Lytechinus pictus: one gene and its partner. The protein of the gene in region 1 interacts with the protein of each later gene in a pairwise test. Links are inferred from orthologs where the notes say so. Each region holds a gene or a part of one and is shown on either strand. Other genes may lie near its edges. The genes, in order: Golgi to ER traffic protein 4 homolog B-like and ATPase ASNA1 homolog.

Region 1 (8,024 bases):
CGAATTCTCCCAATTAATAATGCAAATCTTCTTACTTGGGTTGACAAAAAGTCTTCTTTTCTTACTTATTAAGAAAAATTCAAAGGTAAAAGAAGTTTGAATGAAAAAAAAATTAAGGTAAATAAAGAAATTTGTAAATGAAATTTGACAGCATAATTTGAAAATTATGGCAAAGATAATGAAAAGATTAAGAGGAGGTCTGCTTATTGGCCAAAAGTCTAATCATCAAATTTCTCATTCCTGCGATTTTGGCGCAAGCCTCTTTTTTGAACCCCCGACAAAAACGTCCCATGTTCGCTCAAGCATAAACAAAATATATTTTTTTTAATTGCATTTCAAAGATAAGATATCAGAGCATCTATTAACATCAAAATATAGATATGATTTTAAACAAAATTTTTATAGACTTTTCAAAACTGTCCCGTTTTTTTTTATACGCACTGTATTTTAATAACTTCAACCCTTAAACTACGGAGCTATTAAACTCATCGTGCATTGACCTGTAAACCCTCTATATGTTGCATTATTTTAGCAGTGAACCGTTCTACCTGGTATAATACTCTGTTAGTTAAACAGCTATAACTTTTATCTGAACATTTAGAAAGGAAATGTTGTGAGGCAAACTTGTAGTGTTTGGTGGGTTTTCTTGTCATGTATGAATTTATTGCATTACGAAAGAAATAAAGCATTGCAAATAATTTTTTAAAAACATTTTCTTCTTACATTTTCAACAAAAGTGTAGCCCTTTATTTTGGTTCTTGGGTCAGTGGCGTGATTCTATTTTTGTATTCACCTGGGCAGTCTATCACAGACATGATTCTAATATCATTGGTAATCTGACAAAAGTAGACCATACTACTGTGAATAAATAAAAGAGAGTAGATCTTCGACTAGTCAAAGAAAAAAAAGCACCTCTTTCATACAGGTGTCATGATCTAGTCCTAACTCCTAATAACAATGAACCTGACCTTGGTATTGTTTGTGAGGAGGATATAATTGATTCTTTTCTCTCCTTTTTTCAATGAACTTCCTGGGTCAGCTGAAGGATATATTGATTTATTTAACATGTAAAGAAGGTAGATAATCTGATTAATCTCCCACTAAGTGGTTTTGAAAGCAAATGTATATAAAACAGAACAAAACTCTGAAAACTACAATTTACCTGGACATAGAGGCATCATTAGGGGAATGCGCGGTTGTGCAGAAATGCGAAATATATAACACGCCTACAGACGTGCAATAATGCAAACGGAATGCATGAAGAGTTAAGATACAGTATATTGAGGACTTGGAGGCATGAATGGTCCAAGGAGATTTTTCTGACATTCTTGTTTTCATATATGATTTTTTTAACATTTCGAAAGTTAAGAAGCAGGAAAATCCTGACAGGTCAGCATATGCTGGCTTCTGGTGTTAAGAATGAGATTATGAGACCGAAATTGAAATCAACAGAATCAAGACAAAAAAAGGTTTGTGTTCTTGTACTTTGCTACTTCGTCAGCTGGAGTGAAACTAAGCACATATCATAATCTTCAAGGAAAATGAAACCTTTGGAACAAGATAGCTTGTGTGAAAACAGAAAAATCAAAGAAACAGATCAACAAACGTTTGAGAATAATTGAATGAATAATAAGAAAGTTATGAGCATTTGAAGTTTAGATCATTATTGTAATGTATATCCTCCCATTGGCAATGCGACAAAGATGTGTGATATCACATGTGAACAACTTTCCCACTGCTTTTGTATATATTTCACTTAAAATGCCTATTTTATGACATCTATCAGTAGATCATTAATTCTTTCTATGGGGCTTGTAATACAGATTTTCAAAGAATATATTATGGATGAAGGGTTTGTATCACCATAAGAGCAAAAAGATACATTTTTGGGGTATTTTTATAGTCCATCAAAGGGAAAGTTTTTCACATGTGACATCACACATATCTGTCGCATTGCCAATAGGAGGATCTCCGTAGCATTAGTGATCGCAATATTCAAATGCTCATAACTTTCTTATTATTTGTCCGATTTTTCTCAAACTTTCTTTGATTTTTCTCTTTCCACACAAGCCCACTTATTCCAAGGGTTTCATTCCCCTTTAACAATTTTGAATACTTTCACCATTATTTGAGCAAATTTCATAAAAAACTAGATGAAACAATATAATAATTCTGTTGGTATTTTATAGTATCATTCATTGTAGTTTGATAATAGAACCGAACTTCCGAAGAGACAGTGGACGCTGAACGACGAGCTAATGACAGCCAAGTCACAGACACAGCTCACTCATTCAATGAACAAGTTGTTAAGGCTTTTTTTTAGCGTCCATTGCTCTTTCGGTTTTCTTATATTAAAGTTATATATTGTTTTGCTCTAGCGTTCTGGTCATTCATGCGATTTTACTCCCAGGCCCATGAGTGCATGTCAAAAAGCTTCAGTAGACTGAAGTATGTCAGTTTTTAGACTATTTAAACATTTTTAATATTTATTTATGAAATCAATATTCGCCTACCATCCCAAGCGTGTTGTTTGTAATAATCTTAATGTGTGCAGGGTGGTTGGTTTCAAAAGAGGTGGTCGATATGTGGTGGACTCATGCAACCAGTTCCAGGCCAGGCACTTCCACATCCACGTTTTTTAAATTGTTTTTAAAAAATAATTTTATTGCTGCAGCGCAGCGTAGCTCAGCGCCTCAGGCACACCGCAGGCAGCGTGCGGTCATGGCGGTGCAGGCTCAAACCCCCCCTCTTTGATATGATGGTTTGAATTGCATTGCACAGGAACTAAGTTCCCAACCCGAATAAAATACAGCACGTTAGTCAGTGGTCATTTTGCTCGTGTGCTATCTGAATACTTGTATCACGGTATTGTGATATTCCCAGCTTAATTGTGTGCACAAAAAATTGCACACGAACATGACGAACACGATTGTATTTTTTACTTTAGTTTGAAGATCCTAAGCTGAGTTTGAGCAAAACCAGACTGAACTCACATTTACAACACGTTGTTGACTCCGCGGGACCAGGTAAAAATATGAAATGTTCTCTCACAGTCTTTAAAAATTCTTGAAATAATCGAAGAAGACATCCGGTGGAATTTCGAGACCCTTCCAAAAATGCACCACGTATTAGACCATAGGCGTAACGCGTAAGCCATATAGACTTGATGACAGGCCGTATATTTAGCTGAAGAAATATCGACTCAGTATTTACATGATGCAGTATATAGATCTACGCATATTTACGACTGGTTATTCAGTTTACGGTTTTAGGGAATTTCCCAAGGCTTGCTCCTGAAACGCTCACCATACTGGGCCTGGGGCGGAAAGGCGATGTTGAAAGTGGGAGGGCTGGGAGGACTTTGGGGGAAATGGGGACACTTCGGGACACTTCCCCTTTTGAAACGGGTACTATCGGGGCACTATCTTAAAAAAAAAAAAAATCATGCCCCACTCTAAATGAGTCAGCATATTATTTTGTTGTAATGTAGGAGCATGTGGGATATGGGCAGAGCGGAACGTATTTCGTTTGGGAGTATAGGGCGGACACTAAACGGACACTTAATAGGCCCAATGTACACGATGTAAAAAGAAGGAAATACCGGTATTTCATAACAACTTCAGGAACGAAAATGATTTAAAAAGATTTATTTCGCAATAGGCACATTCACTTTTAAAAAAAATCCCTGCATATGGGATTTTTAGGGGCAAGTGCCCATGCCCCCTGACCCCCGGTTCCACGTATACTGCCCATGTAGAATTAAAAAATAGTATACGTGTGCTTAATTGAATTGCCCTGTAACAAACAAGAAAAGAAAATTAGGGGCGTTTCTCTCTCGTAGTTTGTAGTTTCATATATAGTTTTTTTTAGCATTATATAATTTATTCACGGCGCTATAATAGCTTCATGGTTTATTTCAAGTATTTCCATTGTAAGCAATTTTGGCCATTTTGGCCTTATGGGAAAAGCGCCATATAATTAATAAGTATTATTATTTATCAATGTAGATAGGGGCATATATGGGACTTAAAGGGACATACTGCAGAAGTTGGCTTTAATCATAAAAATAAGGAGCTAAGAATGGGCACTTAGTAAAAAAATGTTCAGTAATACAATATAGGAAATCGGATGGTCGCTAATGAATCTATCTAAGAGGGTAGACAAGGGAAATAACAATTAAAACTGATAAGAATCCCCAAAATGGCAAATTATAATTACGTCAATTAAAAAAAAATCAGGTCGCGCTTCGAGCTCACATTAATTATTCACCTAGTCCTTATGCAGTACCTATAGACTTGTTGTAGAAATAAACAGAAATAAAGTAGAAATAAACATTATACACTATTTGGTCTCAACTGCTATACACCCCCTTCCCACCCGGGCTTCCCACTTGCGTAGAGGCTTGGCCGGGGGCAGGGGCCTCAATCCATTTTTCAGATGGCGGGGGGCAAAATCATGAGTCATAAATCAACATTACAAAATTAATAAAGGCGCTTGATCGCACAAAACAATAAAACTCACACACACACACACACGTTTCTGGACCCATGAAGATAAAACATGATTCAACAATCAAATAATGCGAGCGCGAGCAGAAAATTTTTGTCATTCCGACCTAAAAACTGGAAATTCTTGGCATTTTTTTAAAAATCATGAACAAGATAGCTATATAACTAAATAATTGATGCAATCACGAAGCGCAACTTAGCGGGGGGAAATTGACAGTTAGACCTAAACATGGGACACTCCAATAATGTTTTGGAAATCATGAAAAGGGTGGGTAATTTGGTATCTTCCTACATTAATACCTGGATTCTGGGCATTCTAAATACATTTCTTTTATCATGAAAGTCATTAATGCGAGCGCGAAGCGCTAGCTGAAAAAAATTATAATTATTCTGATCTGGATCTGAAGAAGGGTCAATTTATGCAATATTTCAAGCACGTGTGATGTAGGGAAATTGTGAAGTGGAAATGGATCCCAATGAATTAATGGTATGAGCACGAGGCGCGAGCTGATATGATTAGTGTTATTTTGATCTAATCCAATCATTTTTTATAAGCCTAATGAGAGCGTGAAATTTGTTGATATTAAGGCCTGAAAACTGGAAATTTTAAGGACTTTATTGATGCGAGCGCAAATCTCGAGCCGAAATTTTTTATCAACTGTCAAGGTAAAGTTTTTTTAAAAGTAGTTTGTTAGAATTAATTTAGAGAGATACATAACTCACCTTGATCTACATATGAACCTATGAAAAGAGGGGCTTGCCATTATTTTTTTTCCACAGGGGGGGGGCAAATAAAAAAAAAAAAAAAAAAAAGGGTCTTCAACCACAAATAAAGGATTTCGTACCAGAAAAAAATTTGACAAGCAAAAAAAAAAAAAGGTCTTCAAGACTCGTCAGGGGAGGCAGGGATATGTCCCTTGCATGGGTTGTGACTCGTCAGGGGGCAGTCTGCCCCCTCTGCCCCCCCCGTAGGTACGCTAGTGCAGAAAAGTATTCTAGGCCTATATGATGAGATTCCTGCGTAAATGTAGGGCTTATACCTTAACAAAACTTGCAATGATAGATGGAATCATTTCCCGCGCAGACTCATGATTTTGTACTGTACTAGATCTATAGATGTAATAAATCTAAATTTTATATTGTGCTCGGTTAATGTTGCTGATTTCTGTGTTAACATTACAATTTAATTTTATTTTTGCACTTACGGAATTATTAGGGCAAAACGATATGCTAGCTTGTCACCCCAATATTTTCATTAGTGCCCCCCCCCCCCAGGATCGGCGCCTCGGGCCGGGACCCTAGCTAGCTAAACCTCAAAAAAAGTTTCACGGCCGGAGAAAAAAAATTAAAAATCGGGGGAGTGTAAAATATGATTTTAATCATGTCATAATCTATAACACAAAATCATACTTTTTATTCAAAGAATCTAAATTTATGCTCACTTGCTTTGCTCACTCACTGATTTGAAAAAAAATTAATTTTGCTCTTGAACGCCATTATGTCTGGCCCACGTACCCCCACCCCGAAAAAAAAAGAAAAAAAAAAAATCATTCACAGAGATCGAACAATACTAGTAGTACTAGTCACTAGCGTACCTAAGGGGGGGCAGAGGGGGTAGACTGCCCCCCCCCCCCTGACGAGTCACAAGCAAAAAAAAGGAAGCGAAAAAAGGGAAAGAAAAGAAGGAAAAAGGAGAGAAAGAAAAAAAGGGGAAGGGGCAAAAGAAGAAAGAGTTTAAGAGAAAGGGAAAACAAAAACTCGACTGCAGACTGTCGGAAAAAATGATAATTGTCGGGCACACGGGGCTGTTCCAACTGATTCGGTTTTTTACTTCCACCATCTTTGTCGGTAAATGTCAATTAAACTGTACACTTTTATCGGTAAATTGTGATTTTTACGCAATGCGACTTTTAGAGCTCTCTGTACCGATAGTGAGGACGGACTGGGCTGACCAGGGACAGGAAAAATGTAGATAACAACTTTTAGGTAATATAATTATAACAATAAAAAATTCGCTCGCGCTACGCGCTCGTATCAATTTTTTAGTTGGATACCTTAGATAAATGTCTAGTTTTCAGGTTGAAATATCAAACATTTTCAGCTCGCACTTCGTGCTCGCGTCAATTGATTAGTTAGAAAGCAATTTGTTCACAGTTACAAAAAGTGCTTATAATATCCAGTTCTTAGGCCGGAATTTTAAATATTTCAGCTCGCGCTTCGTGCTCTCATGTAACTGTTTAGGTATAACCATCCTCTTCATAGTTAAATTAAGTGCTTAGAATGTCCGGTTTTCAGGTCAAAATATAAAAAAATATCAACAATATATCATAGAAACCAATTTGTTCACGGTTACAGATATTGCTTAGAATATCAAAAATTTCAGCTCGAGCTTCGCACTCGCATAAAATTCCATCTTGTTCATAATTAAATGAAGGGATGTAAAGTTTTCAGTCCGAAATATCAAAAATTTTCAGCTCGCGCTTCGCGCTCACACCAATTAATTGTTTTTAACTACCATGTTGTTCATAGTTAGAAAAAAAAGGTGCTTAGAATGTCAAGTTTTCAGGGGGGAATATCTCAAATTTTCAGCTCGCGCTTCGCGCCCGCACGACCGTTTAGATATCCATCCTGTAAAACTGCTTAGAATGTCTATATAGGGTCCTGTTAGAAATATCAAAATTTTTAGCTCGAGCTTTGCGCTCGCATAATTTATTAAGGAAGATACCCATCCTATTTATAATTAAGTGCACAAAATTTATCGTTTTAGGTTTAGATTTTCAAAAAAAAAATCAGCTCGCGCTTCGCGCTCGCAATTATTATTTTAATATTATTTTAGTGTAAATTGTTAGGCACGTGTCAGTGAAAGTAAAGACTTTTTTGGGGGTGGGGCTTGTGAAAATTTTTGTAAACAAAAATGTCCCACTTGAAAATCCTTGGTTGGATATAAATGAGTTTTGGTCGTCGGTCGTCAGTAATCGTTGCTGATATCTGTCGGTAATCAAGGTCCTCCACATCCCCCCCCCCCACTGGAAAAGGCCTAGCTATGTCTAAGTTTCAGGAATTATATCCATATAACCAGAGGAATGTGTAAGCAGGGGCTTACACATTCCTCTGGTTATTACCACCCCCTTTCTATCCTATGTACCCGATCCCTAATTCATCCGCCTATCTTTTTCCAATTTCAATTTCCTCAACCTTCTGACATTCCTGCCAGTGAGTGAGTGATTTTCCCCATATCTAGTGATATATCATGTTACTGTCGCATATATTTTCATGTTCATATTTATTTTTTATGAGTGAATGGATGCATTTATTTTTGTTTTTACTGTGTAAATGGAAATAAAACAAAGGCAAATCAATACATGACTATAACTGATTTCAATGTCAAATACCTCTTTTATAACGTCTCCAAATGAGCAGAATTGGGAACATAATGTAACACCTTCAAAGAGGAATAAAAGAAGTATTTTAATATAAACATTGCAATTACCACTTGAATAGAAATCCCGGATAAAA
Region 2 (7,888 bases), on another chromosome or scaffold:
TCTCGTGAATTGTGAGACTTTCTTTCTCAAAGAATTTAACCACTTTCTCCTTGAGTAATATTGATTATTTTTGTACCATGGGCAAGAGTAAATGTTACCCTTTTATATTGGTCATTTCTTTTGAATGAAATATTTTGATAAATAAGTGAATTTTTTACCTGAAAAGATGCATCAAACAGAATTTTCTTCCTCTGTTTTCACTTGCAAATTGTGCAACATTTTTGTGTTTTAGGCACCAACATTATTTATATCATCAGAAAGCTCAAACTCTATACTTTCTTACAATGTCACTCTTGATATGTGGCATCTTTTAGATAGGTCAGCAGCCAGTTATTTCCATCAAGATGCAAGACGAGATTTCTGAAATTTCTGAGTAACATAAAATCCAGAGTTCTGATTGGCTGAATACTGTTTTCAAAACAAACAGGCGCGGGTAATTTGAAGAGATTACCACATGGTGAGTGTGACCTTGCAGAGGCCCAGTGTGGGGAACATTGGAATTTGCGTGGGTGTGTGGTCTATGACCAATCAGAGCGCAGTATTCTTGTTTTTGAGCTGCAAAATGTACTTGGCCTATGAAAAGCTGGCTGCTGACCCATCTAAAATACATCTTCTTATGAAAATTATATCATATTAAAGCTTAGATCTTCAGCTTTATCATGATTTAAAAATCATTTGTGCCTAAACAGAAATTAAGTGTGAAAACAACAACTTTTGTTGCATGAAAAAAAATATTTTGTTTCATGTTTTAGATCAAAAGTTTTTCCTATATTACAACATTCTTTTAAAAATCCAAACACATGACCTGAAAGAATGATTCTTCTTCTTTACAAAGATACCAAAAACATGAAATTTGGTCAATATTTAGAGCAGCAATGGCCGAATAAAAAGAGGTGTTTTGGTTCGCACCAAGCTCATTAACTATGCAAAAACCCTCTTGTCATGAATATCACTTGGATAAAGGAAGCTACTTTTTCAGGGCTTGCGGACTGACTGATAGCAACAGAAATTACTCCAAAATCACAACAAAATGAGAATATTAAATGGCAACAAAACCCTAGAAAACACGATCTCACTTCGCTAATATCATGACAATTCACACGTCGTGACTGCACTCGACATCAGCACACTCGATTGTACCCCACACTTGTACCCGTATCCGGCCGGCCGGCCGGGTTTGGCTTCACATGCACACATCGTTCAACTACACGGTCGTGTGTTGCTGCCCTCTACGTTTTGAAGATGTAACAGCACGATATCGTGGTCTTAAAATCCAAGATGGCGGATTGGCAAAAGCCGCTGACTGACGATAACGATGTCCAAAAAACCCCAAAATTATCAATGAAATATCATTTCACCGTGAAATAATGCTAATAATGTGAAAGGTGAGGATGTATGCATGCTAAATGGGTTTGTAAAAATATTTTATGCACCCGCATAGATCCGATTAGAACGGATTCTATTGTGTTGTTGGTACAGTAGCAGATACAAATTTTGACAAGTGCGAGTGCACGTGTTGTGATTTTGCTATTCAATGTGTAAACGGAATTGTCACTTTTCCGTGTGTACAAAGTCTATGGGGAAACTGAATTTCCGTTTTCTGACATGCTGAAACGGAATTTGAGATTTTCTGAAACGGAAAAGGCAATTTTTTGAAACGGAAAATCACTGTCCCTACATCCCTTATACCAACGATTTTCATTGGCGGTGGAAGCCACAAAATTTAGGGGGGACCACCAACATTTTTTGACAAACAAAAAATTTAGGGGGGATCGTCAAATTCAGGGGGGGGGGACAGGTCCCCCCCCCCCCGCTTCCGCCGCCTATGATAATTTTCATCACTAAAATAAAAATCATTAACCTTTTTAATCAATAAAAAAAAAATTAAAAAAAATCTGCCTACCCTCCCCTTTAGTTTTCTGCCTACCCTCCCCTTTAGTTTTACCATTTTAATCACTAAAATAAAAATGAATTAGAAAACAAATAAACAAACAAGAAGCCCCGCCGAGCCCTTTTATCATTCCATGCAATCACAACATATAAATGAAAATTAAGATAAAAAGCAACAAAGAATAAAGCAATGCTATTATTGAATTCAATCTCTATAAGAATGAGATTTTTTTTAAATACGGAATTACATGTAACAAGCCATGTTTCTCCCCTTTTATCATTAATCACTAAGATAAGAATAAAAATTATTATAAATAAAAAAGAGCCCCCCCCCCCCTTATCATTTCAATCACTATGAATAATTTATTCAATAAGAAATGAAATAAAAACAAATAACAATGAAGCCCCCCTTATAATTTGAATCACTAAGATCATAATTTAAATAAAAGCAAACAATTAATAATAAGCTCATCCACTCCTTTAAGGCTTTATTGATCATCTACATTGAGACCACTACATGTAAGTCATCAAAAACCTTTACCCGTCCGAGCACTGGCATGATTACGGTAATGCCTTGCGTCGATTTGCATGTAAAATAGTTTAGGTGCCTAGTCTTTCTCTTGTCGTGTCTTTGATATTATGAATATAAATCGCGCACCCTCTTTAGGCCAAAAATTGATTTCGTCGCTGACCGAAGCCGAAGAGGGCATCTCCGTGAAATCTTCACTGAAGATCAAGATAAAATACATTTTTTTTTAACTAAACGAACTTCAAAGAGAAGTCACCAAAGGAGTAAATGGTTCGGTAAGTGTCAGCATAGGCCATAGCACAAAAAAAATGTGAAATCCTAACTTGAGTGTTTCATTATATTTTATTTGGGCAAAAGCCCATGATATTCGCATGTGTCGCGTGCATATGATATTCCTTCGCACGCGAGAAGCGAGATGAAAAGAACCCATGGCCATGCCATGGGTGGGCTAGCGCAGACCTACCATTCATTTCCGAGCGAGCAGCGGCCGTGGACCGTCGGCTGCACGGGCCGGGGTGGCTGGCCGGTTGTGCTCTGTCATGGGGAGCGCTGCCTGGCTTAGCTGGTAAATTGATTAATTCATGACGAAAATTCGAGTCATTAATACTTGAAATAATCTTGGAAAATACATCACCTGCATGTTGTTTTGCCAACACCTCCTTTTCCACCAACAAAGACCCACTTCAGTGATTTTTGGTCAATTATATTTCGGATAGAAGGTTCCATTGTTTCGAGATCTTCATCTGGCATGGAAGTGGCCATGTTGATAATGTTGACCAACGAACGTAGAGGGCAGCAACACTTTGCAGTATTGCTTTTAGGAAGGTCCACTCCGCTCAGATTTTGTGACCATTTTCTCCCAGAGCACTTTTTTGGAAGATTGTAGAGTTGATTTTTTTTCGTTTGTTCAATTTTACTATTTATTATTGATAATAAAACCTCCAAGAAAATATGTTAAATAATATATTTTTAGCATATTTGTATTTTTTAAAAATTGTAAAACAAAAGGTAATCATAATTCTTGTAGTTTACATGGCAATAAAAATACATAGACTGATGACATTTGTGTTACCGTTCTTCTGCTTAATTTCGCTGCCCCTACCAAATCTACACAAGCTAACGCCAGAGCCAAGACCGTGATGTCTGGCCGCGCCGAAACTTCCCCGGTCACCTGTACCTCGGTGCGCGTACTGCGCTGCGTGAATGATAATGCTGACTGCACTGCACTGGCATGATAATCTCGACGCGACTCGACTTAGCTAGATATGGACTTGAAAGATATAGACTTGGTCTGTCATTGATGTGGCACTATGGCGGATGAGCAACGATAAATATTCAAGGCTGGAATTTTAATTTTCACTTAGAGTGTAGATTGTAGTCTGAAAATCTAAAATAATTATGCTATATCCACAAATCCAACCCACATTTTGCAATCCATCAGGCAAGATCGAATACGACCACTAAACAGCAAAGCCAAGTCCCAGACCCAGTCTAACGTTAGACATAATATTAGACAGCAATTATCTGGTTCATTATCGAGCTATGTATATTCCGACGGGTCTTGACTTGAGACGAACTATCAAGGGGCGAAGGTCTATGTCACATCTACTTTTTTCATTTCATAATTTTACAAAAAATTGTGTTAGCATATGCATGCAGCCCACCGTACCCTACCTATGCACCGACCGGCCTGGGGCGCCGGCGCGGTCATGCCAGCCATGGCGCTTGTATAAGAGGCGGTACTGGATTGTGTAGGCGCATTATGGTGCAGCGAAATTTAGATGAAGACGTTTCAACCTCACGTATACTTGTTATTATATTGATATGCAAAGTCATAAAACTGTTGTCACCACCATGTAATATTTTATGAAAAATACAGGAACAAGTATTTCATATTTTTAAGCATGATATTTAATGTAAAAACATTTCAAGCAAAAATAATGATAAAGAGGAAATGAAAATAAATCAACTCTACAATCTACTAAAAAAGTGCTCTGAGAGGTTTTCGGTGGTCACAAAATGACTTGGCTAAATCCGGGTGAAATTAGCAGACTGGTTTATTTATGACAGAACTTAATCCTGTTTTACTGAAGATGTACAAAAAAATTGTGACAATAATTTAGTGATATATTATTTTAAGAATTTGGTACATTATTATTTAATTTTTTATATATTTTTTGTTTTCATTGTTTCAATCTACTATTGTCATAATCTATTAGTTTACCTATATTTTGCTGTCACTCCGTGAGTGTATTGCATCGGATCATGGTTTCGTTGGCATGACTACCAAATTGCTCGCGCACTTCATTTGTATGCGCGTATCGAGTGGACCTTCCTAATAGCAACACGCTTGTGTGTTGCTGCCCTCTACGTTCGTTGATGTTGACGTTGTTATTTATACTGCATATGCAATGCTGTACTGTATGGTCGACTTGATTGTCGTTGTTGCTGTTTAATAATTCTCGGGGATCGAGGGGGGCGGGGGTCGAGGAGTCTGATCAGAATATCAACGAAATAATTGACCTATATTTTTGACATATAGAATATGTATATATATCAACTATATTTAAGAAAAAAGATTTGATGTAAAGAGAAAAGAATCTATTTACTTTAAAAAAAAAGTTGTCCATTGTTTGTACAATATGGAAAAGCTTCTTTTTTAAATATCACTTTATAACGGTGCACGTATACCGGTATACTCGTCACAATTAGCACTTCTTACAGAGTTGCTCTACCTCCATTGTGTTGTTAAATTTTTTAAATTGTATTAATGCTTTATCTTTAGAAATAAATGTTGAATTGAATTGAAAAAAGTTTGAACTTTTTGAAGGATCGAAATTCCATACCGCGCGCTCTATCGCGCTATACTGGAATTGAAACCGATTACCCCCCCCCCCCCCTGCTCTGAAATACATCAACATGAGAGATGTGAAATTTTGAAGTTTTTTAATGGATATGTCATTTGTGAGTAACTTCCCCGTATTTCATAAATCCTTTATTCGATGATACAAATATTTTTCTTAAGCCAGAAAGTGCATGAAATGGCGTGCCCTGATATAGGCGCCTATATCCAATGCAATTTTTTTTTTAGGAATAGCTATATAGGCATTATATACCTCAGAATATAAAAAGTGGATCGATCGAGGGGCCGTTGTGTCGTTTAAAGGTCAAGTCCACCCAGAAAATGTTGATTTGAATAAATTATAGAGAAAAATAAAATTTGCATAACGCAGAAAATCGGATGTAAAATAAGTTATTTTTAAGTCCTATTTTTAACGAAACAGTGATAATGCACAATTCAGTGACATTCAAATGAGACAGTCGATGATGTCCTTCACCCAATATTTCTTTTTTTTATTGTTTGAATTATATACAATAAATTTCATTTGTTAAATATTTGACAACCATGACTGAACCATATATAATTCCACAAGTTCAGGGAGGATGTTGTTTCACTTGACAATTAATGCAGGAGAAAATTAGACAATTTCATAATAAAATACAAAAGAAATTGTTAGTGATTTATGACATCATCAGTCTCCTCATTTACGATATGTGCAAATGTTTTGTGAAATTAAGCAAAACTAAATAATGTCATAATTTTTTTATTATTTTACAACCGATTCATTAAAGTTTCCGTGCTATATGCTTGTTGGATTTGTCTCTTAATTTTTATTCAAATCAACTTTTTGTTGGGGTACGTGGATTTGTCCTTTGAAAATAAAGATTTTTCTCAGTTATTTTTGCCAGTATGTGGATTTTCATCAGACCTTTAATTAGGCCTACCAATATTTTACTCTTAAAACTACTGGCGGATACAGGGGGGGGGGGGGGGCACAGCCGGCCCGACGCACCCCCGGCCCCTTGAGAGGCACAATTAAAATTTGTAATGTAAAAATGCCGTTAAAACAGAAGTGTGCCCCCTTTCGAAAGTGAAGACCTTTTTTTTTTTTTTGCTTGTCAAATTTTTCCTCGGAGAAAATGTGCCACCCTTTAAAAAAATCCTGGATCCGCCCCTGATTAAAACCAACTTACGGGTACTTCCCCTAAAGTTTCAGACATATAGGCCTATATATATAGTTATTATTGTTTCAAGCTTGCTATGTTCCGTATACAATGACCTCATGCATGTACTCGATCAAGTTGAAAATATGGAGGAAAGAAATGAAAATATATTATACCGGTCAATAATTGGTTACAACATATTAAAATCGTATATATTTCGATCATTGAAGATGACTTGAACTACAGGGTCCTGCATGGAAATGATTTTTTTTTCAGTGGGCTGGTGCTGACTTGGGCTGAAATCTCTCCTCAAAGGTGGGGGGCACAATTGAGTTATCCATTGTTCTTTTATATACACACACATGCAAGGCCACCCCTACACACACACACATATATATATATTATATATACATATATATATGAATATAAATATGAATAAAATATACATGACAGACAGTTCTTAATCTTATTATAAAAGAACATATAGTGCGAGCGCGAAGCGCGAGCTAAAAAGTTTGGTAATTTCATGTACTTTGTCCTGAAAATTGAACACTTTGAGCAATATAAATATGTTTGTGATCCTAAATATGCAACAAATAATTACTGCGGGTGCGATCAGCGCGAGCAGAAATTTTAATAGGCCTATACGTTCTGGCCTGATCGAAAAGGGACATGTTTTAAGGACCGTTTGCAGTTACCCTTGGAGACGATACATATTTCAACAATCAAATAATTCGAGCGCGAGCTGATATTTGTGACATTCCGACCTAAAATCTGGACATTCTAAGCACTTAAAAAAATCATAAACAGGATAGGTATATAGCTATGCAATTGATGCAAGCGCAAGCGGAAACAAAATTGAGATTTCAGACCTAAAAAAGGGACTTCCTAATCATGTAACTATATAGTACAAAATTGATGCGAGCTAAATGCATTTTTGTTATGAAAATATGCGAGCGCGAATCGCGAGCTGAAAACATTTTAAATTCCGATCTGAAAAGGGGTGAATTTGAGCACTATTTCAAGCAATAGCTGTGTGGAAAAATTCTAAAGTGGGGGGGGGGGGGAGGGGAGGAGGGGGGGGGGGGTCCTACAAAAATTCGTTCATTTTCATTACTTTTCTGTTATTTATCATACCTACCAGATTTCCAGGGGATGCTGCCTGTGGAAAATAACACACGCAGCGCAGCACCCCCAACGAAAATTTTGGGGGTGATTCATTATACCCTCACCTCCGCCTCCCAGGGCCATGTTGAACTATTAGGAAATCTTGAGTAAAATTAAAAGACTTATTGTTTGGTGGAAGCAAAGAGATCTTACGATCATGGTGAATTTTTTTTTGAGAATTTATGAATTTTCAAAATTGAATTATGTTTCTTTTCTGATGACAGTCCCCCAAAAAGACATTTTTACGGAAAAAGAAAAAAAAATCTTTCATTTTATTTAGGGAGGAAGAGATGGAAT

Evidence for each region.
Region 2: the proteins of Golgi to ER traffic protein 4 homolog B-like (region 1) and ATPase ASNA1 homolog interact in a two-hybrid assay, tested with the Caenorhabditis elegans proteins (2 studies listed by BioGRID). The link is inferred for Lytechinus pictus from reciprocal best matches to the Caenorhabditis elegans genes cee-1 and asna-1.

What each region holds. Positions count from the first base shown.
Region 1 is NC_087254.1:10,474,974-10,482,997, forward strand, and holds the start of Golgi to ER traffic protein 4 homolog B-like, read right to left. Parts: upstream 3,162-8,024; 5' UTR 2,994-3,161; intron 1-2,993.
Region 2 is NC_087255.1:4,858,764-4,866,651, forward strand, and holds the start of ATPase ASNA1 homolog, read right to left. Parts: upstream 3,182-7,888; coding exon 3,054-3,181; intron 1-3,053. UniProt on the Caenorhabditis elegans protein: ATPase required for the post-translational delivery of tail-anchored (TA) proteins to the endoplasmic reticulum. Recognizes and selectively binds the transmembrane domain of TA proteins in the cytosol.